Coturnix japonica: one gene and its partner. The protein of the gene in region 1 purifies or fractionates together with the protein of each later gene. This does not show direct contact. Links are inferred from orthologs where the notes say so. Each region holds a gene or a part of one and is shown on either strand. Other genes may lie near its edges. The genes, in order: TGOLN2 and GALNT2.

Region 1 (15,949 bases):
TCCTTCTCCCCCAGCCCGGCTGCAGGCGCTGAGCTGAGCGTTGGGTGCTGCTGTGCTGTGCCTCGGTTTCCCTGTGAGCAGCACCTCGCGCTCAGCCCTTGGCACACAATGGGCCCTTTATGTCTGCTCCTTAATTATGCTCTTCGGCTAATTACCCCGCATTTTTTTTTCTTTATTTTTTTTTTTTTTTTGGCTTAAATGAGACCTACAGGAGGTTTCCACTAAACTCCTCCGCCCCCTCCCTCCCTTTTCCAACACGATTCCCAAATTAAAGCAATGAAGTAAGTGCTCCGGGCGACTCTCATAAGACCTGGTTTTGTTGGGGGACTTAATGCGCATTCATCATCTTTCTGGAATTCCGAGCAGCTGCTTTTCATTAACGTCCCTTCCTTGAAGTCGCGGGCGGTAGCGAGGGAAGGAGCGGGGAGCAGCGCGGGGAGCAGCGCCCGGCGCATCCCGGCTGCGGGGAGATGGAGGGGTACGGGGCACAGGGAGGGAGGTGCTCAGCCCCGGAGCAGGGGGAGGAGGAGGGAGGAAGGGGATGGGCACAGTGTGCAGCATTTGGGGGTGTTTGTTGCAGGGATGTGTGTGTGCGCCACGGGAGTCCTGGATCCTGGGTGTGTGGGGCACCAGGAGTCCTGAGCCACAGGGAATCCCAAACCTGGAAATCCAGAGCAAGGGAATCCTCAGCCCCAGGGCATCCCAAATCCTCACCTGTAGGAAGCTCAGCCTTCCCAGGGGTCCTGGATCCTGGGAAGGCTGAGCCCCAGGATTCCCAGGCGCTGGGAGCCATGAGCACTGGGAATAGTGGCTCCCAGGAATCCCACACCCTGACGGTCCTTCGTGCTGGGAACGCTGAGCCCAGGAACCCCAGCCCTGGGGAAACCTGATCCCTGAGAGTCCAGAATCCAGCAAATCCCACCCGCTGGGCAGCCTGAGCCCCAGCGATCCCATCAGTCACACACCCCGGGGATCCCACACGCTGGGAATCGTGAACCCTGGGATTCCCAAACCTCAGGAATGTTGATGTGGGCCCACAGGTGGGGACTGTGGGTTCAGGTGATGCCGTGCTCCCAGCTGCCATCCCAGAGCAGAGGATGTAGAGACTCTGTTCTCAGAGGTTCCATCCCCAAACCCAGGACTGCGGGGTGGGCTGAGATTCAGCCTTGTTGCTCCCAGTGTCCCTGTGCCTTTCGGTCCCACACTTTGGGATTCCGGAGCCTGAGCACCGTACAGAGTTGTGGCCGCGTGAGTGCGGGGTGAATGAATGGAGCCATTCACGGGGCACAGACAAAGCCCCGGGGTGGCGGGGAATTGCTGCCACTGAGGTTATCTGGTGGGGGAGAGGAGAAAAAGGGGTGTTTAGGGGTCCAGGATGTGTGTGGGGCTGAGGCCGTGGGGTGCTCAGGCATTGTGTTGCCCCATGACGTCCTAATGATGCTCCGGATCCCCCCCCAGTGCCATGGGATCTGTACTGAAGACAAGGCGTCCCCTGGAAAACCCACAGCCCTCAGAAATTGCATTTCCTATGTGCCAAACTGGGTTGGATTTACCCCAGCTGTTCCCAGTGCTGGGGACTGGGAGTGCTGCAGGGTCAGAGCGTCCCACCTTGCAAAGATTTTTGGGGTTCTGCGAAACACTCAATGCAACCCAACGTGCAGCTCCTGCTGCGCTGCATCGGGATGTGTTTTGGGGAAAAGGAGCCAAATTGGAGGCATCAGGGGCTGCTTGGATGGCAGTGCTGGCATTGAGAGGAGGATGGCGTGGGGGCAGTGGTGTGGGCTGCATCCTGTGGGGTGGGTAATGCAGCACAGAGCCTTGGTCTCAAAATGAGCCCTTCTCACCCAAAAGGAGAGGCTGTGGTGGTGGGTGAGCTGGGTCTGGTGCTGCAGGGCCTTGCAGCTTTGGGACGTGGGGTGCACGGTGCTCACAGCGGGATGTGGGATTCCAGGACATTGGCATGTAGGATGTGAGACTTCAGGACATTGGGATGTGAGATGTTGGGTTGTGCAATGCTGGGACAATGGGATGTGAGATGTGTGATGCCAGGACATCCAGATGTGGGATGTGTAACATTGGGACACTGGGACGTGGGCTGTTGGAGTGCCAGGGCTCCATAGCTCCACAGCACCGCGATGTGCCGATATTCCCTATTCCCAGTGTAGCATCTGGGATAAATCCAACCAAGTTTGGCTCCAGCAGCACACAGAGATGTGATCTCAGGGGAAGCTGGGAGCAGCTCCTCCTGGGGAACACGGTGCTGGGGTGGGTGGCACCAGGATACACAGTGCTGGGATGTGGAATCCATGGACAGGCTGTCTGGGATTTGTGGCAGTGGGATGTGCCCCCCCTTCGGTGCCACCACGCAGTGGGGCTTTTCCCCCACTCCCCCCTTTCCCAAGGAAAACATCTCAACCCCGTGCAGAAGAGGGGAGGAAATCCGCTCATTAAAGCCCCTAATTGGGCATTAGGGGATCCCGCAGCGTTCACGCCTCCTCCCCGAGCTCACCGCAGCCACACGGCACAGCCCTCCCCAACTCCCATTGCTGAGGGGGGGGGACAGACAGACACACAGACAGACACACAGACACAGGCAGATGGGAGGGCTCACAGTGGCACTGCAGTCCGGCAGGGAAGGGGTTAACCCCCCTGGTTTTAATTGGGGAGGTGGGGGGGGAGCTGGTAACGAGGAACCAGAACTTGCTCTAATCTCTCTGGAATGTGACCGATTTTCAACTATTTTCCTCTTTTTTTTTTTTTTTCTTTTTTAATAGCTCCAATCTGCTGCTCGCAGCCCCACGCGTGGCCGTACAGTGGGAGCTGTGTCCGGGGCTGGGGGGTGGGAGGGGGGAGCTGGGGGGGGCTTCATTTTTCCACATTAGCACTGAACCGTTCGCCAGCTCCCCCCTCTTTGTATATTTTGAAAGGGTCCCCCTTCCTCTCCCCTCCCCGGCCTCCTGAAGCTGCTTCCAAATGAGAAGCAGCCTTTTATACACAGCTCTGCCCGGCCGCCGTCCCCCAGCGGCTTCTCCGCTTACAGAATAGAGCAGAAAGCGCCTTTGTGATGGGCGGGGGGTGGCGGGGGGTGAGGGGCCGCAGCAGGCACTGAATGGTCACCCCTACGTGGACGTGGGGACGTGGGGGCAGCTCCTGTGTCAACTCAGCGTGGGCACAGGGGAACCTCCTGTGTCACCTGGACGTGGACATGGAGACACACGGTGTGTCACCCCAGTGTGGATGTGGGGACACAGGGATACCTCATGTCACCCCAAGACGGACATGGGGACACCTGGTGTGTCACCCTGACATGGGGACACCCCCTGTGTTACTTTGACGTGGGCACAGGGACCCCTCATTTGTCACCTCCACCTGGGAATGGAGTACACTGGAGATGGGGTGACTGGAGATGGATGGGAGATACTGGGAAGGGATGGGGGATACTGAAGGTGGAGGGAAGGTACTGGGAATGGGGGATACAGGACATGGGGAGTCCTGGCCCGAAGGGGAAATACCGGAGGCCCGAGCGGAGTGCTGGGGATGTCAGCAGTGTTCAGAGGATGAGGAGCTCCTGTGAGCACCAGGGGATACTGGAGATGGAGAAAGGAACTGGGAACAGTGGGGATGCTGGGGATGGAGCAGAGGTGCTGGATGTGGGGGATGGGGATGCAGGCGGGGCTGCTTCCTTCCAGTCGTGGGAGAGTTAATGCTCCTAGAGCCGAGCTGGGCTTCCCTTCTCCCCTTCCCCTTCCCTTTCCCCTTTCCCTCCCCTTCCCGTTCCCCTCCATTTCCCTTCCCTTCCCTCCCCATCCCATCCAGCTGCCCAGGCTCAGGACGGTTCCTGGTGGGGAAATTCCTGGCACAGCTGCTCCATCCCATCCCGGCTGCATTCCCCAGCACCACACAATGCACCTTTATGTTTTCCCTGTGCCTGGAGCGCACAGATCTGGTGGGGCACCAAAAAAAACTCAAGAAGTGCCATACGTGCCTCTCCCCCGGCCCTTGTTGAGTTTGGGGGGGGAGTTTCTCACATTCTGTGACAGTGTGGCTGAGGATCCCATCCCAATGGGCACTGCTGCATCCCCCAAATCTGCTTTTATGGGGCTGTGGTGGCTGATGGGGCTGAGAAGAGGCACCCCAATGTGCTATCAGCCCCATGGGCTGAGCCTGCAGTGGGTGTTGGGGGCGTTGTGGGGTGCAGTGGGGTGTGGGGTGCTGTGCTGACAGCTCTTTGCTCTGGCAGTACCTGCAGATGAAGTGGCCGCTGCTGGATGTGCCGGCTGGGGCCACACTAAAGGACAGCCGCTCACCGTCACCCGCACACCTGGTAAGGACTGCGGCCCCAAACCCCACTGAGATACGGCCCCAAACCCCACTGAGTTGTGGCCTCAGACCCCACAGAAGCAAACAGAGCTTCAGCTGGGGGTGGCGTTCTAGGGGCTGTGTTTTGGGGAGGTGTCCTTGGGGGGGGCTGTGTTTTGGGGTGGATCACTGTATCTTTCCTCCCATCCCCTACAGTCCAACAAGGTCCCGGTGGTGCAGCATGCGCCCCACATGCACCCGTTGACGCCGCTCATCACCTACAGCAATGACCACTTCTCTCCTGGCTCGCCGCCCGCGCATCTCTCACCTGACATCGACCCCAAAACGGGTGAGTGGGGGGAGAGGGGTTGCATGGAGAGAGGGATGTTTAAAGGGAGTGCTTATAGGGAGATGAATGCTCAGATGGAGAGGGGGTCTTATAAAGGAGAGGGGTATTTATAGGGAGATGGGTGTTTGTAGGGAGATGGGTGCTTGTAAGGAGAGGGTCGCTCGTGGAGAGAGGGGTGCTTATAGGGGGTTGAGTGCATTTAGGAAGATGGGTGCTTGTAGGGAGATGGGTGCCTGTAAGGATGTGAATGTTCGTAGGGAAATGGGGGAAATGCAGGGAGGTGAGTGCTTACAGGAAAATGAGCACTTATGTAGAGGTGAATGTTGATAGGGGGGTGGATGCTTGTAGGGAGGTGGATGCTCACAGTGAGGTGGGTTTAATGCTGCTCCCCCCACAGGGATCCCGCGCCCGCCGCACCCTCCCGAGCTGCCCCCCTACTACCCGCTGTCGCCAGGAGCTGTGGGTCAGATCCCTCACCCGCTGGGCTGGCTTGTGCCGCAGTAAGGATGGGCTCCTCCTGCCCCGGCCCCACTGCGTCCCTGGCCCATGCACCCCATGTGCTCCTTGGTTCCCAGCGAGCTGGGTGCGATGGGGTGGGGAAGGGAGGGACTGTGCTCTGGTGGAAATGTGGGATGTTGTCCCCATTGGGATCGGCTGGGGACCGAGCCAAGAGTCCCGGTGTTGTGGGGAGGGGGCTTGTCCCTGTGTCTGCTGCAGCTCGTGCATTTGCAGGCAAGGACAGCCCATGTACTCCATCCCCCCCGGCGGCTTTCGGCACCCCTACCCCGCCCTCGCCATGAACGCCTCCATGTCCAGGTGGGTCCCTGCACCCTGGTGGGTCCCCATGGCCAGGTGGGTCCCCATATCTTCGTAGGTCCCCATGTCCTCGTAAGTCCCTATGTCCTCGTGTCCCCATGGCCGCGTGGCTCTGAGCAGGGACAAGGGACCTCCTTGGGCACCCTGAGCTCCGTGTGGGTGACTGCACTGGCCCACGCTGGCCAGAAACAGCCCCATGGTGACTCTGTGTGTGAAGAGTGATGTCCCTTGGCTCTATGGTGCCAAGTTCAGCCACAAACAAGTCCCCAGCAGTTCGGGGAAGAGTCTCTAATCCCAAGAGATCCTCAGTAGGATTTGGGGGGACATTTGGGGTTGTTGATGCCTGTGGGAGGGCTGACAACCCCACTCCCTCCACTGCAGCCTGATGTCCAGCCGCTTCTCCCCACACATGGTCCCGCCGCCCACCCACGGTCTGCACCCCTCAGGCATCCCACACCCCACCATCGTCTCACCCATTGTGAAGCAGGAGCCTGCCCAGCCCAGCGCCAGCCCTGGCAGCAGCTCGTGAGTAGGGACATGGGGGGGTGGTGCCGGGGACAGGGACAGGATGGGGACAGAATGGCATGGGGATGGGAATGGGGATGGGATGGGGATTAGGATGGGATTGAGATTGGGATTGGGATTGGGATTGGGATTGGGATTGGGATTGGGATTGGGATTGGGATTGGCATTGGGATTGGGATGGAGATAGGATGGGGTGGGGAGGGACAGGAATGGGGATGGGGATGAGGATGAGGATGGCAGCAGGGACAGGAATAGGAAGGGGGATATGGAGCTGAGCCTGCATGTTGCCCCCTGCAGGAAATCCCCCATCACAGTAAAGAAGGAGGAGGAGAAGAAGCCCCACATCAAGAAGCCTCTGAATGCTTTCATGTTGTACATGAAAGAGATGAGGGCGAAGGTCGTTGCTGAATGCACGCTGAAGGAGAGCGCGGCCATCAACCAGATCCTGGGCCGACGGGTACGTGTCTCCCTCGTGCCTTCATCTGCCTGCACACCAACATGGCTGTGCTGGGGACCTGCAGGCACTGCCTGCCGTGTGTCCCTGGGGTCCGCAGTGTCCTTTCCCCTTGCAGTGGCACTCGCTGTCGCGGGAGGAGCAGGCCAAGTACTACGAGCTGGCACGCAAGGAACGGCAGTTGCACTCACAGCTCTACCCCACGTGGTCTGCCCGCGACAACTACGTGAGTGTGACCCACATTCCCCAGTTCAGTGGGGTTGGGAGGCCTGAGGGTGGTGGGGCTGAGCTGGGGGGACACCACGGTGCCGGCCCACATCACCCCCTGGGTCACCATGACCCCAGTGTGACCATGAGCCCCTGTATCACCATGTGCTGCTCTGTGGCGTTGTATCACCCCCCCTCAGCCTTTGTCCATCCCGTGGAGCATCCCACCATCACACCTCAGTGCTTTGCAATATTTCACAGGGCAAGAAAAAGAAGAGGAAGCGAGAGAAGCTGGCCCAGCAGCAGAGCCACGAGGCAGAGAGTGAGTACCCGGGGGGGAAGGGGCGGCCGTGGCCATCACGTTCCCCCCTCTGCCCCCACACTCAGCGCCTGCCCCACACCCCGCAGGTGCTCTGCCCTCCAGGAGCAAGAAGCCGTGCGCCCCACACCACCTGCCCCCCGATAAACCCTGCGACAGCCCGGCCTCGTCCCACGGCAGCATGTTGGATTCACCTGCCACGCCGTCAGCCGCCCTGGCCTCCCCGGCTGCGCCCGCAGCCACACACTCGGAGCAGGCGCAGCCGCTGTCGCTCACCACCAAGCCGGAGGCCAGGGCTCAGCTCGCCTTCCTCTCCGGCAAATCCTCCTCCTCCTCCTCCTCCCTGGGCTCCCCCCCGTCGCTGCTCCCCCGGCCCATCGCCTTCCCCTCGCTGCTGCTCCCCTCCCCTCCTGCCCCGCAGCAGACGCAGCCGCTCGCGCTGGTCACCAAACCGGCCGACTGAGGGTGGGCTGAGCAGGAGCCCCCCACCGCCCTGCACCGCAGCCGCCACAATCACGACTCCCAACGCAGCCAAACCTTTATTGGTCAATATTTGACCTTTTCTGAACTGTTTTTTTTTGTGTTTTATTCTTTTTGTCTTTTGGGAAGCAGACTCTGGAGGAAGAGGCTCTTTCCCTTTACCAGCAGTCGACCTAAAGACTGTTTTTATTAAAAAAGAAAAAAAAAAAAGGGGGGGGGGAGGGGGAGGGAAATGTTTTTTTGTGTTTTTTAATATTTTTTAAGAATAAAAGAGAGAAAGAAAAAAAAAAGAAAAAGGACCTTTCCTCAGGCTGGGCATCCAGTGCTGATGCCCCCAGTGCCCCCAGTGCCCCCAGTGCCATCCCACTACAGCTGGACCCCGTCCCCAGCTCGGTGCTGGGCTGGGGGGACATGGGGTGGGGCTGGGGGGGGGGTTTCTCATTGAATCCCTGTTATTTTTCACAAAAAGAAAACAAAACAAAAAAAAAAGAAGAAAATAAAACTACAGCTGCAACTTTGCTGCGTGAGCGTGGTCCGTGCAGGAAGGCCGGCACTGCTGAGCGCTGCCGATGTCAGCCTGGAGCCCTGCTCTGTGCTGCAGCTCCAAGAGCCGAAACCTTTTTTTTGGGTCAGAAAAGCCAAAAACCGCTGTCCTGCAAAGGGCCGCAGCCACTCAGCCGACACCAGGAGCAGGATGCGGCCGAGCAGCGCCTTGAATGGGATTTCATGGGAAATTAAAGGCATGAAGAGACCTGTCACAAGAATTAAAGTCTGGACCGGAGCCAGACGGCTTCAAACAGATGTTGGACTTCAGCGGGAGAATCTTTCTTTGTTTGGCTCGGCGTGTTCCCATACGGAGCACGAACATCTGTCGGGTGCGCTGGGTCCGGATGGTCCCTTCGGGAGGACGGAGGCACGAGGAGCTGCTGCTCGTGGGGCGGCTCATATGAAGGCGCCGCGTCCTGCCCGGCCGCTCCGAGTCCCGCTCAGCCCGGCCTGTGTCCGTGTGTCCGTGTGTCCGTGTGTCCCCGGCCACCAGGGAGCGGCCTCGTGCCGTCCGTGTCCCTGCGGTGACACGTCGCTGCTCCGCCGGCCCCGTTTTCCTTTGGGTCACTCCATCCCATCCCTAATGGCCGCCGTCCAACAGACCCCCCGGGGCTGCGCTGCCCGCTCACTAATTGAGACGCCTAATGAGCTCCCTGCGGAGATGGAGCTAATTAGGAGCTGCCCGGGGCCGGGGGGGGGGTCCCGCCAGATGTCGCGTTGCACCGGGGTGAGGCCGCGCCTCGTACCCGTTAATTGCCGTTAATTTCCCATTTGCTGATGGATTCGATCTCATCCCGCCCCGCTCAGCGGATCGTGGGCTGCAGTCAGTGCCCAGGGATGGGATGGGGAAACGTCCCACGAGGAGAAGGGCAGCGCCAAGGCCCAGAGCGCCCGGTCCGACCCCAAATCCCCCTTTTTGACCCCAAATCCCCCTTTCTGACCCCAAAATCCCCCTTTTTGACCCCAAATCGCCCCCACTCGGCTCTACCGGCGCGCCCCTCCCTCGCCGAGCCCCGCCCCCTGCTTTGCATGGCCACGCCCACTCACACAAGCCCCGGCCCCTGCCGGCCGTCAGCCGCGTGCCGGAAGTGACGTTTTGAGCGGAAGCGGAAGCGGAAGCAGGCTGTATCCGGGTGAGAGCAGCGGGCCGGCATGGCGCTGCGGGTGGTTCCGCTGCTGCTGCTGCTGCTCCTCGGCATCGCCGCCAGGACCGGGGACGGGACCAGTAACGGGGACGGGACCAGTAACGGGGCCGGAGCCGGAGGTAGCGCGGGGTGCGGGGGGAGCTGGTGGGAGCCGGGAGCGGACACGTGTCCCACGGCCCCGGGTTTTACGGGCTCTGTGTCCGCGGGAGCTGCCGGGATCCCGTGAGCGCGGCCGGGCCGAGGGTGGATGATGTGAGTGATCCCGGCGGGGCGAGGAACCGCCGCGTCAATGACCGCGGGGAGTCGGGGCTCGGCGGAACCTTAACGGGGCGGCGGGACGCTCGGGGCGGGAGGCAGCGCGGTAACGGGAGCCGGTAACGGAACTGCGGGTCCGGGTGGTAACTGCGGGCTCGGTGTGTTTGTGGCAGGCGGGGAGCAGGGAGCGGAGCTCACGCAGCCATCCAGCACTTCAACAGGCGGCGGAGGATCCAACGGGGCACAGGATGGAGACGGCGGAGGGACAAATAACGGGGGAGGAGCTGGTGGTGCCGGTCAAAACACAAACGGGATTGAGACGCAGCCCGGAGGGACAGGGAAACAAGGCGATAAAGACAAGGAAGAGAGCAATGGGGGCAAAGACACCAGCCAGAGCAATGGTAATGATGGCACTGGGAGCCAAAGCACCAGCCAGAGCAACAGCAACAGTGGCAGTGGGGGCCAAGGCACCAGCCAGAACAATGGCAATGATGGCAATGGAGGCCAAGGCACCAACCCGAACAACGGCAACGGTGGCAGTGGGGGCCAAGGCACCAGCCAGAGCAGTGGCAGCGGTGGCACACAGTCTGGCAACACTGCTGGCCAACCCAGCACCCAAAACACTGACAGCCAAAGCAATACCCAGCATGGTGATGATCAGGAGCAGAGCAGCCACAATAGTGGCAATCAGGGCACCAAGACCGACAGCCAAAGTAACCACCAGCAGGGCAGTCAGACCACACAAAATGGCAACACCAATGGCCAGAGTGGCCAGAAAAATGGCAGTGCTGGTAACCAAAACAGCCAGAAAGAGAACACTGACAAGGGCAATGGCCAGACCAACCAGCATGATGACAACACCAGCAGCAGCCAGAACAATGTGCAACATGGCAACACCAACAGCCAGACCAACAAGCAGCCTGGTAACACCAACAGTCAGACCAACCAGCAGCCTGATAACACCAACAGTCAGACCAACCAGCAAGGCAGCGGCACCCAGCAACATGGCAACACCAACAGCCAGACTAATGAGCAACATGATAACACCAACAGCCAGACCAACAAGCAGCCTGATAACACCAACAGCCAGACCAACCAGCAACCCAGCAACACGCAGCATGATGGCAACACCAACAGCCAGACCGACCAACAGAGCGACGATGCCAACGGTCAGAATGACCAGCAAGGCAGCGACAACCAGCAACAAGACAGCACCGACATGCAGGACAGCAATCAGGGCGACCAGGAAGACTCAGTGGAAAATAATGGGCAGCCCTCACAGTCAGTTTCATCTGTTCATGACACAGAAGGCTCCCCAGATGGTGACGAACTCCCTGAGGAAGAGAACGGGTTTAGGAATGGTAATGGTGCTGCCTCATTTAATGAGAGAGAGAAGAGTATTCCTGTTTCTCCAGGGAAGAAGTCAGAGAACAGCCACTTCTTTGCCTATCTGGTGACCACGGGGATTATTGTTGCTGTTCTGTATGTTGCCTATCACAACAAGCGGAAGGTGAGTGGTTCTGCTCCTTGCCCAAGTTCCCCCCTGTGGTTTAAAAGCTTCCTTCGCAGTCGTTGGTCGGTGCTGCAGGTGGGGACATGCTCGGCTGAACATCTTTCCCCTTTGCTGCTCTCATTTTTGCCTTTTGCTTCCTGCTGAAGCCTCCTGCTTGCTGGGTGGGTTTGTTTAGTGTTTAATTTGAGGCCTTGATCTCAACAGCTTTGAGATGAGCAGGGAGGAGTGTTGTAACCAGGAAAGCATTTGGATCTCCATGGAAATGGGATGGCCTCAGCTCCAGCGGTTATTTTCAGCAGTGAGAAATGGAACTGAGCGAGGAGAAAAGGAAAAGATCTGTGCAGTTGCTCTGTGTTTCTTATGGACAATGAGTTTTCTGTACCAGGTTGTGAAAGACTCGCCTTTAAATAGCACTGCACAGGGGAATACAGCCCAAGTGATAAAGCCCATCTTTTCTGCTGTTTTTGTCCCTCCTGCAAACCTGTTTTTGTGGTAGGAGAGGGATCAACTTCTTAACTGTTTTCTGTGGAAAACTGTTTTGCCATGTTTGGGAAAGCCTCATCATTTCCTGTTTTCAATCTGAGCTGCTTTTAAATGATGTTTATTTCAAGTACTTTTAGAAGGATGCGAGTGATGCTTCTCATTGGCCCACTAGAAAGTGCCTCTGTTAGAAGTCAGAAAAACTGCATGTGGTCGTTCCTGTCCTGCTCACCTTGTCCTGCCTCTCTCTCTCCAAAGATCATCGCTTTTGCCCTGGAAGGGAAACGTTCGAAAGGCGGTCGGCGGCCCAAATCCGGCGATTATCAGCGGCTGGATCAAAAGGTAAGGAGGGGGTTGGAGAAGTCCGTCGTGTTTTCCCCTTGAAACTTTGGATTCACGTGCATCTGTAGTTATTTTCTGTGATAGGAAGCCATTGTGAGCTTTCACATTGTTTTAGCTTTTCTTTTTTCCCTTTCCAGATCTAGATTCCTCTTCAGGTGTTCAGTGGAAGAATGCTGCTTGGCGACAACGGGACCAGAATGGTGGGACACCATCAACTGCCCTCTGTAGCACTGAATCATAGCTTTGCTGTCGTCTTCGGATCTCAGAGAACAGGAAGAAGGGGAAATGCTTTTACTTTTGCACCTGCACCTTGGTAATGTTCGACTTCTCACTTCCTTAAAATGTGTTTCTCCTTTCCCAGCGGCCTGAAAATGAATCGGTTTCTGCGTGGGCGTCTGGTTTCTAGACCGTGGCCCAAGAGAAGCCAGCTCTGGCACTTGACAGAACTTTCATGTCTAAACGAAATGGGATTTGCCAGCTACTGTACCGACATCTCTTGAGAAAAATCCACCTGCGAAATGAGCCATCTGATTCTCTCCTTTCAGAGTCATAGAGCTGCCTTTGTAACCAGCACTGTCCTGCTGGAGGCACCAACAATCTCTTTCTCTGTCCATTGCATTTGGATGCTGAAGTTTGGAGCGTGATTGCACTAGCTTGGAAATGATCTGCCAAGGACTCTGCTTTGATTTCTTTTCTTCCTCTGCGATGAAGGTGATGTTTGCTTCACATAACAATTCTCACCTTAATGCACTCCTCTGGGAGTGTTGGAGCTGCCCTCTGGCTGTAGTTTAGACTTCCTTACCTGCCCTATGGCAGTTGTGCTCCACGTGGCTCTGTTCCCTTGTGGTCCTCACAGCTGAGATGCTTGCACTAATGAGGACAATTAGTTTGATGCTGCGAAAGCAAGCCATTCAGGCTTACGAAGTTCTGTGCCATACAGCTGCAGTGATGGAGCAAACTTAACCTCAAAAAGGTAACTCTTCCCTGTTGTTAAAACATTGTCATGATGATGCAGAGTGGGTGATAGTGTTTGGGATGAATGAAATTTGCAGTCATTCAAACCTCTTCTCAAGTACTGAGGCTCTTCAACAGGAAAGGTGCAGCGCTTGCACTAAGGTGTTTCCCAGGCAGCTGCCCTGTGAGAGGGAGGGTTTGTCCCACAGCTCCCAAACCTCTCTGCTCTTCTGCTGCTCTGTCCTCAGCCTGCTAATGGGGTTTAACGTGATTGAATGTACACCTCACCAGCAGCTTGTTGCTGTTTTCTCAGCGTCACTGTGGGGCACTTAAATGAGGGCCTGGGATGTACTAGCACTGGTTGTATTGAAGACTGCAAAGTGTATTGATTCCTGAGCTGTAGCTGTTACGCTGGTCTTGTTTTTGTAGTTCTGCTCCAAAGATACTTACTCAAGATAGGGCACTTTTGAAGGATGTGTGTAAAGTGCCCAGCTTCTTAGTTAGTTTTTTATCCTATTTGGGCAGAAAATGACGGCTGTGACACATGGAGGGCTATTCACATGGGTACACGTGTACCCAGAGCCGCACAGAGGAGTCCTGTCCCTGCTTTGAGGCTGGAGGGGCTGCCTATCCCCAGCCCTGCATGAAGGGTGACCCTCCCCATGGCTGCAGGGTGATGAGGGCAGGGAAGATCCCTTGTCTGGCCATGAAGGCTACAGTTGTGTCCTGGTTTTCCAGCACAAAGGGAGAGCGGGAGAAATCTCCTCTTGCCTCAAACCTGTGGGATCGACTCCTGGTGTTTCTTTTCTCTTTTTATGCAATGTGTTTCAAACTGGTCAAGGAGTGTGAAGCCTTTTCCTTTTGCCCATGGCACATTTCTGAATGGACGGTACCTGTTGGGTACATGATTTCTCTCCAGGTGGGGCTGCTCCTGGGCCTGCTGCCTTGCTGGCACAAAGCAGCGCACAGTTTGTTTCCTGCTGCAGTGCAACGCAACTTGCTTTGAAGGACCAGAATTTTTATATTTCTTTGTATTTTTTTTTTCTGCTGTGTGGTAAAGTCAATAAATGACTTAAAAAATACAGTTTTAAGCCCTTTAGCTTTAACACCCCCCCCCCCCCCCCAATCTCTTTGATCATTGCTTGTGCTCTAGGCTTTGTGCAGAGCCTCTATTAATGGATGCCAGCTCAGCCCTCACATGACTAAGCACCCTGCAGGCGGAATGAAACGAGATGGCCTTTTGCTTGGAGACTGTTTATAGAGTTCCCCGTGTGCTTTGCCTTTCACCCAACTGGCCTTTGGTCAGTAGCAGACTGAGCCAGCTGGCGAGGATCTGCATTCCCCCCTTCACCCACAGGGAGGCTCCTCGAGCAGCATTCAGTGCTCGGTGGCATTAGGATGAACTGGGAGAGAAGGAATGCAGGGCAGGGTGCTGCCAGCAGAGCAGGGTTTCTGGGTGCAAGAAACTTTCCCCCAGTTTCTCTCTGGAGGACAAACTGGGGGCAGGGGAGGGTTATTTGTGGTTTTTTCTTTACTTCTTCCCCCTTGGCCGGGTCACTGAGAGCCTGGGGGAGGCAGTGGTGAAAGCAGGAGATGGAAAATGGAGACAGTTCGGTTGTGTGTTGGACTGGAGTGCTCTCTGGAGCCTTCCTACTAGGGGTGAAAGCATTGCTGTGTGCATCTTCAGGGTCACTTCCCAGAGAAGCAAGTATTGGACTCCTCCAACAACTCTAAGCCCCATGCCCAGCCTCACCCCGACCTGGATGTGCTGTAGGGGTCTCCAAACTGTTTTCTTCCTACGGGCAGTGTGAGTGCATAGGGAGGGAGCAGCTCAGGAGGTCCCCCAGCAAGAGGCAGTGATACGAGCACCCAGAGCACAGGGCTGTGTCGGGGCAGTGGTCCTGCTAATTGACCTCAAATAATTATCTACAGGGCTGGGCAGGGCCTATCAGAGCATGGCTGAGAAATACCAACAGGAGCAGAGTTTGTCTGAGAGGCCCTCAGGGTGGAGGCAACAGATTTAAAGGCTGAGTGCAGAGTGAGCCATGCATGCACAGTGGGGAGGCTTTGTTGTGCTCATTGTGGTGCCAGAGATAAAACTTCCTCCATGTCCTGGCTGCTCCTGTTCCTGTTCATGGGAAAACCACTCCTTCATGGGCTCCCAGCAGGTCTTTAATGCGGACTGAAGTCCACAGAGCAGAACCAGCACTGCAGTGCTCACTGCCTGGCACTGGGGCACCCACTGATGGCACATAAACAGCACTTCCAGCCTCAGAGCGGCCTGTGCCAATGCAGGACAGTCACAAGGACGGCTCTAAACTGCATCTCCTCTCCTTCCCAAACTCTGCCTTCTGCCACGCTGCTGTCCCCCAACCACGGGACCTGGGCTCAGCCCCAGTGCCAGCAGCACCCTGCTGCTCCCCAACCACAAGGAACACTGTCCCCATCATAAGGCAGTTTTATTTCCTGCCTTCTTGCCCTTCCCAGCACCAAAGCAGTGGTGAAGGCTTTGGTTGTGCTCCCGAACACAACCAGCAGACAAACAGCCACATCATCAGCTCAGGGCAGAACCAACAGCTCTGCAGCATGTCAGGGCTGCATTCACTGTGAGATCCCATCTGGAAGCGCCGCTGTTGCTCCTGAGCAGCTTTACACTGCCTTAAGTCAATCCACCCTGAGCGCAATCCATCCCTGAAGCCGGGCTCCTCGACGCGGGCACAGAGCCCAGGGCCTCTCCTTCCTCACACAGCACTGGGGTGATAAGCATTGTGCATCCAGCATTGTGCAGGGCTGATGGTAAATGGAACTGATGGAAAACCGGTCCAGTGCCACCTGGGTGGCTGTGTGCGGAGGGAGGGGTTCATTCCTCAGCTTCCACCACCCTGCAGATACCAGCTCCATGTGAAGCTTTTTCAGCCCCATTCAGCACAAAGCTATTGCATGCAAGGTTAAAAGCAGCAGTGTAAGGCTTGCTGCCCTTAGCCAGGCAGGTGCCCATGGAGCTGAATGCTCCTCCAGAGGCCCAATGGGCTCTGACAATGGAGGGCATCCAGTGGTGCTGGGTGGTGCCATTGTTGTATAGGATCAGGATCTTCTCTTCCTTGTGCTGGAAAAAGGGCTTTTCCCTTCAAGCAGGCAATGGGGAGGAAGCAGCAGCGTGCGTAGTGGCGCAGGGAGATGAGCTATGGTGGGATGGGACCCATTGGAAGCAGGAGCGGCTTCATGACTGGTGCTGATCCCACAGAGCCATCAGGGAAGGATGTTA
Region 2 (15,829 bases), on another chromosome or scaffold:
ACTCCACAGCTTCTCTCTCCATAGCAACCTGTGCCAATGCTGTTACCCGCATCCTAAAGAATCTTGTCGGACTTCTGGTATTTTATTTCAAGCCTTCTTTTCTGTGCAGTATCTTTGTGCAGTTTTTCAATAACTGAAAGAATGACATGTGCAGACTGACCACGATGAGCATTCGAGATCTGAATCCGTTCATGTCTTCCAAATGCAGACATCTTTCCTCTCTCTCATTGCCAGCAATTATATGAGCTCATTGCTGATCAAATCCAGCAAGTAAAATACCAGTGGGACTCTGAACTAATTTGGTGTCTCAAAAAATTCTTTGATATAGCTGTACAACAGCTCAATGTTTTAGTGAGTAGAGGTTAAAAAACAAAACAGAAAGCCACCAAACAGCAACCTGCTCTCCTGGGTGTGTTGGGCCTGCTGATGTTTTCTTGGCTTTTAGAACAGAAGATCTAACTAAAATAATAACCATGTGAACTACCTCATTCTTTCCTATTTATTGTTACTCAAGCACATGGCATGCCTTAAGGTAAGCTAGCCAAGAAAGCAGTGTAGACAAACTGAGAGCAAGCAAGTGCTATGGAGAAGCCAGCGTAGAGCATCATGATCCAACCCGGGGAAACTCCAGCTGCTGGGTTAATTATTGTTATTTAGTCACATGCCAGAAAGCATGTGATTAATTGCAGAGAAAAAATGCACCGTCCTTCATTGACTTTAAAAGAATTCTGCCTGCCAAGGAGAAAAATGAAATCTGTGAAGTTAATAAGCTGAAACATTAAAAAGGAAGAGAGAGATAGAAGTTGATAGTGGTTCTGCAGCAGGTGAGGCTTCCCAATTGCATCCAGCCCTGCCAAGATCCCATTAGGGAGCAGGAAAACCCTGGCACCCAAGCACAGGGAATATTGCTTTTGTTCTGGCTGAAGTCTTCTGACAGAGTTTTGCAGAAGTGTGGGAGTGCAGGGAGTTATTTCTGAAGCAGAGGGTTTGTCAGTGGTGTGTAGATGTGTTCCTGGCTAGAATGCTGTGATATGAGCTTCTTCCTGATGGGATCTTTGCCTTCAGGTGTGGCAGTGCACACAGTTTCCTGCTGCCAGCTGCTCTGCTCTCTCGTCAGCAGGAGCCCCAGGTCTGACCTGCTCCGTGGCACTTTGCAAGCGTGATGCTGAAAGGGCAGATGACTCATATCGTGGTTTGAGTAAGGTGCTGCTCAGCTTGGCGGAGATTCTGCTGTTTAGAGGTAGAGTTTCAACTATACTCCGTGTGGCATGCGGCTGCCAAGGTCAATATTGTATGTGTGCATTTGTCTCTGCTCTGTCCTACTGCACCTCTGCAGGCACAAGTGTCTAGTGAGCTCTTCTGTAGCAAGGACACGTAGAATTTCTGGTTTTATACTGTGCAATGCAGCCAAAGATGTTTGTTCCTGTAACATTATCCTGGGACACTCATATGGAAGGTATCACTCAGGTAAGGCAATTGAGAAGTAAGCATACAGCAGAAATGCTGCTTACAAAGCTGGGGAATCAGAAACAGCAGTTTTCTTGTTCAGTATCTCAGCATTCCCAATTCCCAGCATTGTAGTAGAGAGTGCTTCCTAGAATGTGGGATTTTCTCCTTCACCAGCCAGCGATGGTGGAAGGCTGCAGCGTGTAGACAGGTCTCTTGTGGTGGGCTGTCCTAACACAGTCAGGATATGTTAGCATGTGCCCAAGAAGAGGGCATGTCCTCTCTTTTCTGATGCTCTCACTAAGAAAGCTGCTTAATCTTCTCTACTTACACCACTTCCATCCTGTTGCAGAGAAGTGGCCTTCTGTAGAGTTGGTGCCCAGTTTACATCAGTGCGTGTGAGATGACAGCTAGAGCAGGTATCTCTCTCAGACTTGTAGAAGGAATAACCTTGTTGGAGAGTTTGACTGCAAAAATATGATTTCAGCTGAGAAGGCCTCATTTACACCCATATGGGCAGGAAGAATCTAATTTACAAGTAAAAGTCAAATCATTATCTGGCCATCTCTCCATGTGGTTCACGTCTCTCTCAGTTCAGCAGAGTTTTGAAAGCCAGATAAAACAGCGCACGGTGCTGCAGTAGAATGAGAAAGGAAAAAAGATGTAGCATCAGTTCACAGACCTGCAGTTCTTCAGCTCATAAAAACATGATGGAATGGTCTTTTATTTTCTGTTTGTCTTCTTGGAAGAAAACACTTGCTACCCTACCTGAAACTCTTGAAAGACCAAAGGGCATGGAAAATACATGGTCTCTGTGGGGCAATCCTTGTTTCTCTTTTGAATTATGTTGTGTGGTAGATGCTGGGGCCAAGTTCATCGTGGTTCAGAAGTGTTACACGGAGGGTGGATCTGGCTATTGCCACGGGAAGGGGAACACTGTAGAAGTGATTTCTCATGATTTGCTGGTTTCAGCCCTGTTTTCAGAAACAACCTCTTTTGTGATTTCAACAGATGATGATAAAGGTTTGAAGCCAAAAGGGGTCACAAAGGCTACAAAGGGGAGGGTCAATTTCCATCCCCTGTGGTGAGCGAGCCTATTTACTGTCTGTTCCAAGGTACTGAAAGATTAAATTTGGGAAAGATCAATATATGACTTCTACAGAGTATGTGAACTGAAGCAGCTATGAGCATCTCTTCTGCCTTACACAAAATATGCTCTTAAGCGTGATACAGAAGACCCATGTAATTTGTTATAAAGACTGTGAGATCTAAACACCGTGTTTTATGAACTGGCAAGTATGCAAAAGACCAGGATAAAATGGCATGTTTGTTTTTAATGTGCTGTGGGAAGAGACTTTTAATTGCACAATGCAAAATCATCTTGAGCAATATCTGGGAGTACAATCTAGAGTATCGATAAAAATGAATCACTGGGATTTATTCGTTTGGCTGTGCTTGTAAAGGGAAAAGCAGGCATGGTGCTACGGCAGGTGAGTCTCACTTGTCAAACATGGAGGAGTCTTTGGGAATGTGCACCCCTTCTGACCATCTGAGCTCTATTCAGCCTGTCTGCTATGGCACCTCTGGAATTACCTTGTCATTGTCAGCAATTAGGGTGCTTCTCTAGGAAGCGGGAGACCTGCTTTCAGTGGCTCTGGCTGAAATCACTTTTTTAATGCCTACCATAAGGGAAGTGAGGACAAAGAAAGGAGGTATTTTCCACTATCCCAATGGAACTGAAATATTATATAGAAAGAAAAGGTTTGCTCTCCCTACTCTGCTGAAATGTGTACAGTCACTGAAGAGAAGCATTTACGGCACCTATATTAGGTAGTTGATAAGCATCATCCTCTCTCTGTTGTCTATGTGAGAAGGCAGGGTCTGACATCCTGGGAAGCAGGCCATCTGAATCACCATTCACCCCACTACAGATGCTGCAGGCAGATAGTGTGAATACAGCCCTGTGATTTTGAAAGGGAAGGCCTTCCATGGCTTCCTTGTGCACTGAGCTCCCTTCCTACCTGTCTTCCTTCATTCCTCTTTCTGTTTAGTCTTCTTCATTCTCTTGTATCTCATGTGGTGAGCTGGTGTCAGTGCAATTAGCTAGGAAAGATTTAGTTAAAGAGATGAGAAAAGCTGCTTCTGGCAGAATGCTTTGAGTTGGGGAAACCTCTTTCCTGTTCTCCAGGAATTTTGCTGTCAGCTGATTTAGCAGAAGTTTCTGTGCTTTTTCTGTATCATGGGTAGCCTCACGTTGATCTGGGTGATAAGTTTGAACAAATAAAACACCAGCTGAGGTTACAGAGACATTGTGTGTAGAGTTCACATCCATTTTTGTTGCTCAAAACCAGACTGCTGTATGCATTAGCACTCTGTGTTCACCCCTAGCCTCAGGTGCTAGTATATAGTGCTATGGCTGCATCCCACTGTGACACAAGTGCTTGGGAAGAGAGGAATTTCCTGGTGATCTACAGTATGAGGCAGGGCAGTCTTCACAGTCCCTGGCAGCAATGAGGAATCCAGCATGACCCTGAGAATTCAGATAAATGCAATGAATGGGGTTCAAATTACCCCAATCAAAGGTGAGGTCATTGCTTCAGCAAGTCTCTCTCCACAGCTGATTGTCACCCACCTATCATCACTCTCCTGTGAGAGATGCTTCTGAGCCATATCACATTTGGAAATCTGATCACCAGCCTCCAGAATGCTGCAAGAGGGGTTTTGTGTGTGTGTGTGTGTGCTGCTGAAGTTCAGTCCGACTCACTAAGTGACTCAGCTCAGGAAGAATAGTTGGCAGTGTATCTGTAGTTTGTACTGGTTGCTGCCATCCTTAGCAGGAGGCCTACGGAAGGCTGAGTTGTTCTTTCTTTGTCTTGTTGTGGTTTAACCTGGCAGACAGCTTAGCACCATGGTGCTGTTTGCTGTGTCCTCCCACCGCAGTTTGGGGGAAGAGAAGTAGAAAAATAGTGAAACTAGTGGATTGTTAGAAAGACCGTTTAAGAGGACATAGAAGGAAAGGGTGATGATAATAATGACAGAAGAATATGCAAGACAAGTGATGCACACAACAATTGCTCACCATGCTTTCACTCTGCCCACTTGGTTCCTCAGTAGTGGCAGCTCTCTTAGCCAGCTCCCCCAGTTTTATTGTACTACATCACCCTGTATAATATGGGACATCCCTTTGGCCAGTTTGGGGCAGCTGTCCTGACTCTGTCCCACCCCCTGTCTCTATGTGTGTTCCCAGCCCATTGCTGGCAGCCCAGAACCAGAAGCTGAAATGTCCACAGCTTAGCGTAAGCACAGTTTAACAACTTAAGTATGGTTGTTAGCAACACGTACTTAAAACCTAAATCCAAAACATAGCACTGAACCATCTACTAGAAAGAAAGTTAACTCTGTCTCAGCCAAAACCAGTTTAGCCTTCACCACCCACAGGGGAAAAGTCCATTTCCTCTGTTCATAAAACAAACAAACAAAAAACCTTCAAGGAATGTTGAACTTTCAAATTTAATAGAGAGGAAGAACTTCCAGATTTGGATTATTTGCCTCGGAAGCACATGAGCTTAAGGTGATGCTGTAAACCTTTGCGAGAAAATACAGCATTTGCTTTACCTACATCTCATGATGGAATGCATGGTTTGTTCTCTAGTGAGGAAACAGCATAAAAAAACCCTGCTTCCAGGGGAAATAGTGATTGCTTCATGCTTTAAAAGCAAAGATACTGCCTTATTGATGTTAAAGTCTGCAGTGAGAGAGAATTTCAGCTCTAATGGACCTGAAAGTACTCCGGCTTTGCAGGGCGTACTCTGTGGTCAGGCAGGATGACACGCTGTTCTCGAGGTAAAACTTGCGTGATACAATATTTGCTTCTTGGGGTTTTAACAGCTCCAACAGCGTTCTTGGAGGGTAACAAGATTTTCTGGAAGTGAGCCACTCCAGAAGCCTGTTGCCAGCACGTCTGCCTACTCTGGGTAGCATCAGAAACTGCATTGAAAAATTAAACAAACACAGTTCTTGTCATCTTAACAGATGGGAAAGGACACGTTGACTCCCATGTCTTTTACTAAGGAGGTAGGCTGTGTCTCATTGTTACCACTGTGCAGTGAGGAATTGCAAAACACCCACATAGATTTTCAGACCTGTTAGCTGCACTTAACCTTTAATCCTGCAAGTACTCAGCCATGAGCGTATAATTTTAAACATCTGAGTAGTCTGACTGACTCCGGTGGGAATATGTGCTGAATGAAGTTAAACATTTGCATAAACGTTTGCAGGTTCAGGATCTTTCACTACAAACACGATTCTCTCACTACAAACACAAACTCGGAGCGGGCTGAGTATTCAGCTCAAGCTCTCTATGTATTAATAAACCTTTATCCCTGCAGATGTATTTTACATCTCGTGTTAATATGCGGTTTCTGTGTTATAGCACGTCTTACATCAGGCTAACGAGTAACCATTTTCTTGAGGGAGAGGGAATAATACACCTTCTGACATAACTGTATGGCTTTGAAACAATATAATCTGAAATGGATCAACTATGTGCGTTAGCTTCTGTATACCAAAAAGGTTCAGGTAGCTTGGTCAGAATCTGGGCCTTTTAAAGCGTTTAAAGCCTATTTTCTGGGTTTTAGACCTGATCTGATACTCTTCACTCCCATCTTTCCAGGGGCAAGATTGTGTGCATGAGTAAGGGACGGACTTGCTTATTCCTAGAGAGTAGGACTGCTTTCTGTTCTCGCTGCTGGAGGATTCATTTACCTCAGGCTAGGTCATTTCACTCCAGAAAAGGATGAGCAATGTTTGTGGTCTTTAGTTACAAGAAGGTGAATGCTGACACCCTGAATTAACCTCTGATCTCACTTGTGTCTGTTTCCATACCTGCTCTCAAGTGCATGTGGCAGAATAACCTCTGGTTTACGCCCTAGCTAAGCAGAGCAGGATTCGGCCCATTGAATCTAGGTGCCGCATTACAGATCAAAGGAAAAGTTTTGATGACTCCTTCTGCAAATTTCACCCCTATTTGTACTCTCACATGATTGATCTCCCTTTTGTTTAAAGCACCGCGGTTGATACAGAAGCATTTGGATTCAGTGAATCACTCTAGCAATGCTGCTCTTGAAATATGCTAATATTTTCTTTTGAAACGAGCTAGAAAAAAAATCAGTTTTAAATGTCTTACATTTTTTGTCTCCGATTCCTTCCTTTAATTGAAGGTTGCTTTTTTGTGTGTCTTTTTGTTTCTTCTTTTGTGTGTGTCTGATTTGCTTTGCTGACTAAACACGCCAGGACTTCTGAGGCAAAGAGGTATGTGCATGCAAACGTGTCGTAATACAACAGGCAGCTTTTCCTAGACTTAAAGCTATATAACATTTCCCACCCCAAACCTCTGTGTTTCCTGTGGTCACTGAAATACAAGTACTTCAGAAGGAAATCTTCCGGCTTTTTGGGCTTTTTTCCAAATGTGAGTAATTTGGAAGGATTTGAACAGAACTGGTTCAGCCAGTTCAGAATATCAGGAGGGGGTGGGGGTGAATTTACACCCAGGAGGGGAGTAAACTCTTCAAAAGGGCTGACAACAGCAGGACACAGGGAAATGTTTTAAGTTAAAAGAGGGAAGATTTAGGTTGGATGTTAGGGGGAAGTTCTTCACTAGGAGAGTGGTTAGGCCCTGGAACAGGCTGCCCAGGGAGGTTGTGGGTGCCCCGTCCTTGGAGGTGTTCAAGACCAGGTTGGACGGGGCCCTGGGCAACCTGATCTAGTAAATGTGTATGTTTGGTGGCCCTGCCAGGCAGGGGGGTTGGAACTACATGATCCTTGAGGTCCCTTCCAACCCGGGTCATTCTGTGATTCTGTGAGGGGGAAGTTTCTTGAGCTAAGTAGATCCTTACAGCATTTCTTGAGCTTTATCAGTAGAAGGCTGAGAAGTGAACTCTGACATGGAAGTAGCCTTCCTTTAAGTAGATGTGCCTTTGCTTGTTCAAGAGGAAATTAGTTTTGATTTGGCTGAGTTATAAGCCTTTGAAAACCACGACTGGGCATGTGCAGTGGATTATTGCAGTAAGCTTGTGAAGTGTGCAGCCACAGAAGGATTTTCTGTACATGCTTGGCTGGCTAATTTTGCTGGAAAGGGAAAAAAGTCTATCTAAGCACATTGCTAAAGTCAGTGAAATTACCTGAGGCTTCAGGAGGACCTTTGAAGGCCGTCTCAACATCTTTTAGACTATGAAAAGGGCAAAAAAAGATTCCATAGGCTTTGCAAGGCATTTGAAGAGTAAGTGGCCTGCAGAATGTGTAAGGTTAAATGGGATTACGGCTCCAGAATCGAGTACTTGACACATCCGCGTGCGATGCTTTCTGTGCAGAGCCATAGAAGGAACAGTGCACATCTGGCCGGTGAAGGAGTCCCCACGCAGCAGGGGAACTGCTTCACCATCTCACCTCCAGCCGATGACACAGCTGGAGTTTATCAGCACGTTGACAGCCTTGGGCTGCCGATACCGCTGTGAATTACACTGCTCCATGCCCGGCTGTGCCCGCCATGCGCGGCGCTCTCCTCCTCAGGCTGGGGGCGTCGCGGCGTGCCGCAACCATGGCGACGCTGCCGGCTCCTCCCTTCCCCGCCCCCCGCGGGGCCGGGCGGTGCGGGATTGGCGGCGGGGCGGGCGCTCGCCCTCTGCCCCCTGACCCTGCGCGGCGGCGGCGGCGGGCGCGGCGGCTGCTGCTGCTGCTGCTGCTGGCCGTTTCCTGGTGGCCTGGCGGCGGCGCGGGGGACGATGCGGCGCAGGTCCCGGCTGCTCCTGTGCTTCGCCTTCCTCTGGGTGCTGGGCATCGCTTACTACATGTACTCGGGCGGCAGCGCCGCGCTGGCCGGCGGCGGAGGCGGCAGGAAGGTGAGCGCGAGGCGCCGTGCCCGGCTGCGAGCCCCCGGCGGGATAAGGGGCACCGCGGCGTGCGGCTGGGGGGGGAGCGCCCTCCCGCGCCGCTTCTCCGCACCCTTTCCCCTTTATTTGTACGTTTCTCCTCCCGCCCCCGTTGCGTTCCGCGGGGCGGGCGGCTGCTCGGTGGACTTGAGACCGGCTCCCGCCCAACCGCGCCGAGCCACGTCGCGGGCCGGGGGGCAGCGGGGCGGCGTTCTCAGCCCGGGGATCTCCTGCTGGCCGCCGGAGAGCCGGGCTCATCGTGGGCCGGGGCTGCGGCGGGCTTTCCTCCCCCCCCCTCGTTGTGTTTTAATTGTTTTAATTATCATTTCCCCCGGCGTTGTTCCGGGAGAGCGTTTGGAGGTGCTGCGATGGTCCGTCGTTGAGGGAAAGAAAGGGAAACCGAACGTTCCGCCGTTCCCATCTGCGCGGGTCAGAGCGGTGTTATGTGGCACGGCGAGGTGTGAGGCAGCGCCATCGCCCCATAACTCCTTCACTTCGTGACTGTGAATCCGTGGATTTGCATGTGCCTCCCCTAAGTCAGGAGCTTCCAGAAGCTGTGTGGCAAAGCCTCTGGGAAGTGAGATTTATCGTAAAAGATCCCCCCAGATCAACCCAGAGATGGGCAGAGGGTGAGGAGCTGGGCGCTGGGCGGCTGAGCTGCGCTGCTTGCTTAAAAATGGCACTGTGCTGTTGGGTGAGCGGAGTCGTGCTCCTCCATCCGCACAGCCACCGGGATCTCGGTACAGTTACTTTGATGCTCATTGGTGTGCGTGTTCCGAGTGAAAATCTGGCTGGCTCCTGTGCGAGCTGTGGGAGCAGAGCTTGCATGCTGACTTAAGGAGTTACTGAGGTGAGCGGGGATCTGGGGAGTTGACTGCTCTCTGGCTACCTCCACGCTCTGTCTTGTCCTCTTCTTTGCCCCCTATGGCCTCAGGACTGTGGCTGTCGACACAGTATGTTCAAGTATAAAGCATGTATCCTACGTACAGGCTCTCGGAGCAGATACAGTAGCGGAAATAGATGAAGCGTGAGATAAAAAGTAAGGCAGTACCCTAAAGCCTCTCTTGAGGAACCACCAGAGTGTGTTTAGAAACTAAAAGCAATCTTAGGCTGCTGCTGATGCATAATGGGATAAAGCAAAGCTATCAAAGGCGCATATATCTGCAGATAGGGAAATAGATTTTTAACTCCCGGTATGTCTCTTTTTGAGTTCCCAGTCAGATTTGCAGTTGAGCTCAATTCATTTTTACTGCTGGGGAAACGGCAGCGTGGGGATGGTGATTTGCACAAGGTCACCTAGAAGATCAGGTGAGAATAAAACAGAACAGAAACCAGTTTTTCTGAGAGCAACTCTGGTGCTTAATCTACTAGAACCTGCTGCTGTTCCTTATTGGTAGTAGTACAACTTGCTGTGGTGGGCTGACGAGATCTATGATCTTGAGATGCTTGCTTCAGCCTTATAACTTGTCATTGTTCTGCTAGAAGTTTAATATACCTCACCGATCTGGGCAATTGGAGAGTTTTAGCAAAGATGAGTTAAAGTAAATGAGATATTCTGCATGTGTGAGCCGAAGCTCAACGCTGGGTTTAAAAATGTGGAAGCTTAAACTAAGGTTGTGGTAAGGAACAAAATAGGTACTGTGACCATGAGAAACAAGTGGGGAAATTAACAATTATGTGTGGATTGGTGATTGAGGATTCTATTTTCTGTCAGCGAAGCGTAAAATTTAATCCTGGGCCTCAGAGTAGGTTAGCAAATGTAAGTATGGGAAGATGTGTGTAATGTAATAGCTTTTGAATCTCAATAAAAGCCTTATTAACTTAGTGTCAGACCCTGGTACGATGCAACAGTGCAAACTGCCTTAAACTTATGAACAGAAACCCTGCTGTAGTAAATTTCTTGGTTTGTATGACTTCGTGTAGTTTTCATTGCTTTCCCACTATTTCAGTGCAATGAAAACAGGGTTGCTTACAGAAGAGCATCGCTTCTTATAAACTGAAGTCTATGCCTTGTTGAGTCTCTACAATTACAGAAGCCAGAAGGGGATCATTCTTCATTTGTGTGAATAACTAATTTGCATGTTAATTACAGATCTAGCTAGACAAACAGAATGGTTTTTCCATAAGGGTGTTTTTTTTTTTTTCCATGTTCAGACCTGATGTATTATCTGGACACCCCAGACTTGTTTGGTACGACACCCTGTGCTGTGATGGACATCATCAATTCCCATTTCTTTTAGAAGAGGTGAAAGTATTTGCCCTTTTCCAGGATTGCACCTGAGAAAGATAGATGAATGCTTTATTTTTTTTTTCTTAGTAGAGGAGTGTCAAGTTGATATCAACTTCTTCATATTTTGGTTCTTCATTTATAACATTTCAAGCCATTTGGATGCTCCAGCATGCAGTATCCTTGCCCAAGCATTCGGCCTCTGTCAGCAGTGGTGGGAGCCACAGCCCTGTGTGCGCTGCTCTGGTTAGGTAGGCAGTGGGAGCTGAGTGTGCACAAATGGAGCTAAAGCACGCAAAGTAAGAGCTGTCTCATTAATAAATATGTGGATAATAATAATAACACGCAGGAGAGATGTTTCATGTTTTGGAACGAGGCACAAAGCTGTAGTAGGATGAAATTACTTCTTCCACTTCTGGAATTTAAGGTATGAGAGCACTTTTTTCTTCTTTTCTTAAAAGGAAGAGGAGGGGCAGAGTTGAAGTTTTTTATTCAAAGGTACTTAGAGGTGACAGAATCACTTCTCCTTCATATTCTTTTTCATCTCCAGTGAGAGTGACTGTAAGTATGAGAACCAGGGGTTCAGCTTGCTCCTTGTCCAGCCAGGTCACTGGGTTGTAGATTGGAAAGAGTAAGTCTGTCTCACTTGTTTAATGGTTAGTGAAATAGTTTCCTCAGACAGAGTCTGTGACATAGAAGCAAGCAAGTTGCCAGCCCAGCAGTTGTGAGACTGAGAAAAACGTGGGTTGCTCTTGTGCTCATTAATTGTACTTAATATTAAACAGCCTTTGGAGTGGAGACTGGAACTTTCCTTCTTGTGGGCAAATGTCTTAACCCATAGCAAATGGGTTTGTTTGTGCTCTGTGTCCTGGAACAAAGTAGAGTGGCTTCTTCAGCGTGGTTAGAAGTGATGTGTGCCCTCCCAAGCTGGAGTCATCCCGGTGATATCCCACAGTTATATCGCCCCAATCTTCAAGGAGTGGCGTGAATCAAAACCCGTGTATTTGGAAATCATTTAACTTGTTTCAGATTTTGTTTTGAGTCCTTTAACAACTAAGTTGTTCCACAAATGAGCGACGACTGGGTATGAAACGACAAAACAGCTTGTCCTTCCAAGCATTACAGCAGTAGGCCTGCTGAATGGAGCCCTTCAGGCAGGACACAGGAAAGCACCAAACACCTCACTGCTGCCAAGAGTGAAATCCTCATAGGCGTAGCCTGGAGGAGACCCGTAGGCACTGTGTGTTGTAAGCAGAGGCATCAAGAGGAGATGCCTGCTAGGTAAAGCTTCAGCCGAAGCCAATGTTTGGTGTCTCCTGGATCACACTGATGAGCTTTGGTTTTTGTTTCTATGTGAAGGTGGTGGTTTTGGGTTGTTGTTGTAGTTTTTTAATGTAGACCTCTTCTGCTTCCTTCATTGCTGTGCCTCCTCTCTTCCTCTCCATGCACTTTAGAGAAAGAGAGTAAAACAGTTATTAGGTAATCAGAGCTGGATAACTTCTGCCATGTTTAAAATTAGAAACTGCTTTTTCATTATATCTCCTTTTCCAAAACCAAACAAAAACGGAGAAAAAGGAAAAACAAACCCAGCTCTGTAATGCTTAGGACTAAAGGTCCATTAAGCTTCTGGCTTGTCGGATTTTTTGGGTGCAGTGGAATGAGTTGCAGGAATTGATTTTAGCTGTGCCACAGGGAGGCAGACTGCTCCTGCAGAACTGGTTACGACCCAGTGTGTTGTGCTGCTCTGGGGTTTTTCCTTCAGTTCCCTGACTTTGTGTGTTTTTGGGGCAGGGAGGGAGCAGAAGTGCTTTGTTTTTTTTTTCCTTTTTTTTTCTTCTGTCAGCTTTTGATAGTGGCCGTACCATGAAGTTAAGGCGGAAGAAATTCAAAGGTCAACTATGATATGTGGAGTACAATGATTGACTAAAAGTAACTCAGTCATTTGGGGAGAGTAGGGGGAAAATGAAGGCAGCTGCTTTCTTCGGGATTTTACAAGGATACAATTTTTTAACAACTCCTTCCATCCTTCTCTTCCTCTTTTCTCCATTTGGAACACACAAACTATTTCGGTTAGCATTAAGCGAGGCTCTTAGGTGTACCATTATGTGTGTATAATGACAGGAGGAGAGCAAAGGGAGCTGCGTGTTTGACAGACTTAGTGCACTTGAGCTTCTTTCTGAAGGTTAAGGTAGGAGGGAAAAGAAAGTGTGTTTTAACTGTAGGTGCATTAGCCAGTTTTTGTCAGAGAGTGGAACAGTGGAGTGCAAATTCGATTGTTTTTCCTCACGGCAGGAGAACTCCTTTTTGGAAGGGGACTGAAAGTAACGTCAAATCTGTTGTCTCCTTTTGTCTAAGGAAGATGTTGCCAGTTTTAATGGCTAAGTACTGAAAGTTTAGTTTATTGCATCCTTAAGGGTAACTGCAGTGCCTTATAATGATGCCACATTGGATAGGATTTCCAATATCTCGATCTTTAGACAAATGAAGACATGCTGTCACGTGGATTTGCTTCCTAGGAGGAGCAAGAAGACAGAAAAGGATGTTCTGCTGTTTAGCGGGTAGCTATTTGCTGTCCCAAAGGTGTTTTTCTGCTATAAATAAGTCTATAACAACTGAATGAAATGCCTTGGCACTTTGATAAAGCTGTCCTCCTCTTGCTGGAATGTGAAGTCTCCGAAGTTTGTCGTGTCTATGCTTTCTTCATTTCAAATATCACTTGGAGAAATTACTGCCTTGTCTTTGTGGATTGTTTCTTTCATGAATTTGAGTTGTGAGAAGGCAGCCACCTGCAAACTGTGTGCAGCTTCTCTAGGTCTGTGGTTGTGTGAGGCTCTTCCTCTCCTCGCCCATGCAATCTGAAATGCTTCCAAGTCGAGGTTTTTATGTTTTTTTTCTTAGACATGAGAGTGCTGTGTCATCCCCCACAACCCACCCATCGGTGTATCATCACTGATGACTCTGGCTTTGGTTTGGATGCTATTGCTCTTGAACAGTTGAATCTATTTTTGCTGCTTAAACAGAAGGGGAGCACGACTGTAGGGATGATGGAAGGGACTGAGGAAACAAGAACGACTTACTCTTAATGGAGTAGTTAAGCTGCTTTTCCACTTTTCCTACTGTTGTAATAGTTAGCTGTGCTTCTCTGTGTTATTCCACTGCTGTAGTTTGTTTCTTAGTGTGATCTCAGCGTACAAAACTTTGTAAATTCTAATAATGATGTCCTTTGAGAGATGTAGGTTAAAAAATTAAGTAGAAAGTGAACAGAGTGCCACGTATTCTACCTGTTTTTGTCTTGTCAGTCATGCAGTTTGAAATGTGTTGTAAACAAATGTCAGTCATTTTTTCAGTGTATTCCAGCTGCTTCCAAAAATACAACTTAAAATGTAATATAATGACACTGTTTTTTTTCCTAATTTAGAAAAAGCACAATATGACTTCATGTTAAGAAAAAGAATGTTCAATATCTATCTCAGTTGTGACTAACAAAATAGTCATGGCTTGGTCCTGAGACCAGCCTAGAAAAGTAGAACATTGATACGTGATGGAGAACTTCAATCCCTATCTTCAACATTACATGATTATTTCATTTTGTTTTTCTCTTCTCTTGTCCACTCTTTTGCTTTCCTGCGTGACGTGATATCTAAGCGCTTGTGCGTAACTGATGCTGTTTATCAGGTGATGAGAGGTCAGATAAGAGATGGGATATGATCCGCTAGAAAGCCTGCTCACAATGCTGCTCTGTTGCAGAGAAGAGATGCCTTTGTGTCTGTACTGGCTGTGATGAGAGGGTAACCCTAGTTGCATGTCTGGAAACTGTTTCAGCAATAAGACCTATGCATGGCCTAGAAAATGTGGTTTTACTTGATTTTTTTGCAACTACTTATATTTCTGTGAAGAAATATAGGGTAAAAGTTTATCTATTTGGAAACAAAATGTTAAGCTGCAACTGATCCTGTGCAGCTCAGGTGATGAATTCAAGCTGCTCAGGTAGTCGTTGCCAATGATAAATATTCGCTTGTGTTTTGAAGTTGGTTTGGGCCATTTAAATCTTTTCTTAAATAACCTTCTCAGGTGGCTGTTTAAGTTGTAATGGCACCCATCAGCGTGTAGCCAGGTGGTGTACAAATGTTCCTTCAATGGACTGGGCATTGATAGCTTGTTAGTAAAAGTGATTTTTAGTAGGAGCTATTGGAGGAGCAGTGCACTGCCAGTACGTTGGCAATGCCATGTGTTGGCAATAGACTTGGATTCTAAAAATGAATCTGCAGGAAGTAGTGAGACACTCTCATCTTTTTTTTTCTCCTTCAGTAATAAGGAGTTGAATGTCACTGCCTGCATATATTGGGGTGGGGGGAAGCCGGATATCAGAGTGGGTGTTGCATAAGGTCGTTGTGTTGTCATCATGTAATTCAAAGCGGTGGCATCTTTGGCTACATGAATTTTAAAATCTGAGTGTGTTCTCTTATGCTGCTTGTTTTGAAGTGAGTGTGAGCTCATCTGCTTTTCCCTTTGCTTCTAAAGAAGTAGGGGATGAATTGAGGAGGGAAGATAAATCACTGTGTGACTGGTGCACACTGAGTGCACGCTTACCTGTCATTCCTAAGAGTTCCTTTGCCAAACAATCTTACCATGAATGAAGCAGGAGTACTTACTGAATGCTGCAGCAGTTATTAATAATCATGAAAGCGAAAAATTCAACATCTGTTTTCTTTCTTATAGCTGTAACTTATGCTTCCCCTGTTGGAATATAGTGCGTTTTCTTTGCGGATTCACGGTAGGTTTTGTAGGAGGGGCTTCTCAGTGTATTAACTTGTTTGGTAACAGTTTGTTCGTATGATAGCAATTTTCAGAGGCTGTGTTTAAAGCCTGTCAGTGCTTTATTTTTCCACATGTTTAAACTGTTTACTTTCACCACTTTTTTAAACATTGGGTTTGTTAATTGGCTGGGGTACGTTTATTGTCATCTGAGTGAGTTAAAATACTAACTTGAATCCCTGAACAACCTGACGGAGCAGAGTCTATCTGAAGGGGCCATCTATATGAAGAGACCATCCCCACCCATAATAGTTCTGAGCTCTGCTTATGAAACTCAAATGGAAAAAGGAATGAGATAATAAAAGAACACAGTCTGAATTTTAGAGCATTCCGTATATCCACAGAAATTACTATGTACTATACATCAAAAGCAATCATTTGGATTCGTCATCTTTATAGCTGTGATCTCTTATGG

What was found.
Region 2: the proteins of TGOLN2 (region 1) and GALNT2 purify together in Homo sapiens (affinity purification with mass spectrometry; 3 studies listed by BioGRID and IntAct, counting the BioPlex papers as one, with this or other methods). This does not show direct contact. The link is inferred for Coturnix japonica from reciprocal best matches to the Homo sapiens genes TGOLN2 and GALNT2.

The regions. Positions count from the first base shown.
Region 1 is NC_029537.1:26,220-42,168, reverse strand, and holds TGOLN2 (trans-Golgi network integral membrane protein 2), read left to right. Parts: upstream 1-9,088; 5' UTR 9,089-9,147; coding exon 9,148-9,259; intron 9,260-9,568; coding exon 9,569-10,905; intron 10,906-11,646; coding exon 11,647-11,730; intron 11,731-11,867; coding exon 11,868-11,873; 3' UTR 11,874-13,768; downstream 13,769-15,949. Other genes in the region: TCF7L1 (transcription factor 7-like 1), read left to right, coding at 4,241-4,324, 4,516-4,648, 5,046-5,148, 5,381-5,464, 5,846-5,989, 6,287-6,446, 6,562-6,669, 6,912-6,972 and 1 more. UniProt on the Homo sapiens protein: May be involved in regulating membrane traffic to and from trans-Golgi network.
Region 2 is NC_029518.1:36,125,227-36,141,055, forward strand, and holds the start of GALNT2 (polypeptide N-acetylgalactosaminyltransferase 2), read left to right. Parts: upstream 1-8,133; 5' UTR 8,134-8,225; coding exon 8,226-8,342; intron 8,343-15,829. UniProt on the Homo sapiens protein: Catalyzes the initial reaction in O-linked oligosaccharide biosynthesis, the transfer of an N-acetyl-D-galactosamine residue to a serine or threonine residue on the protein receptor.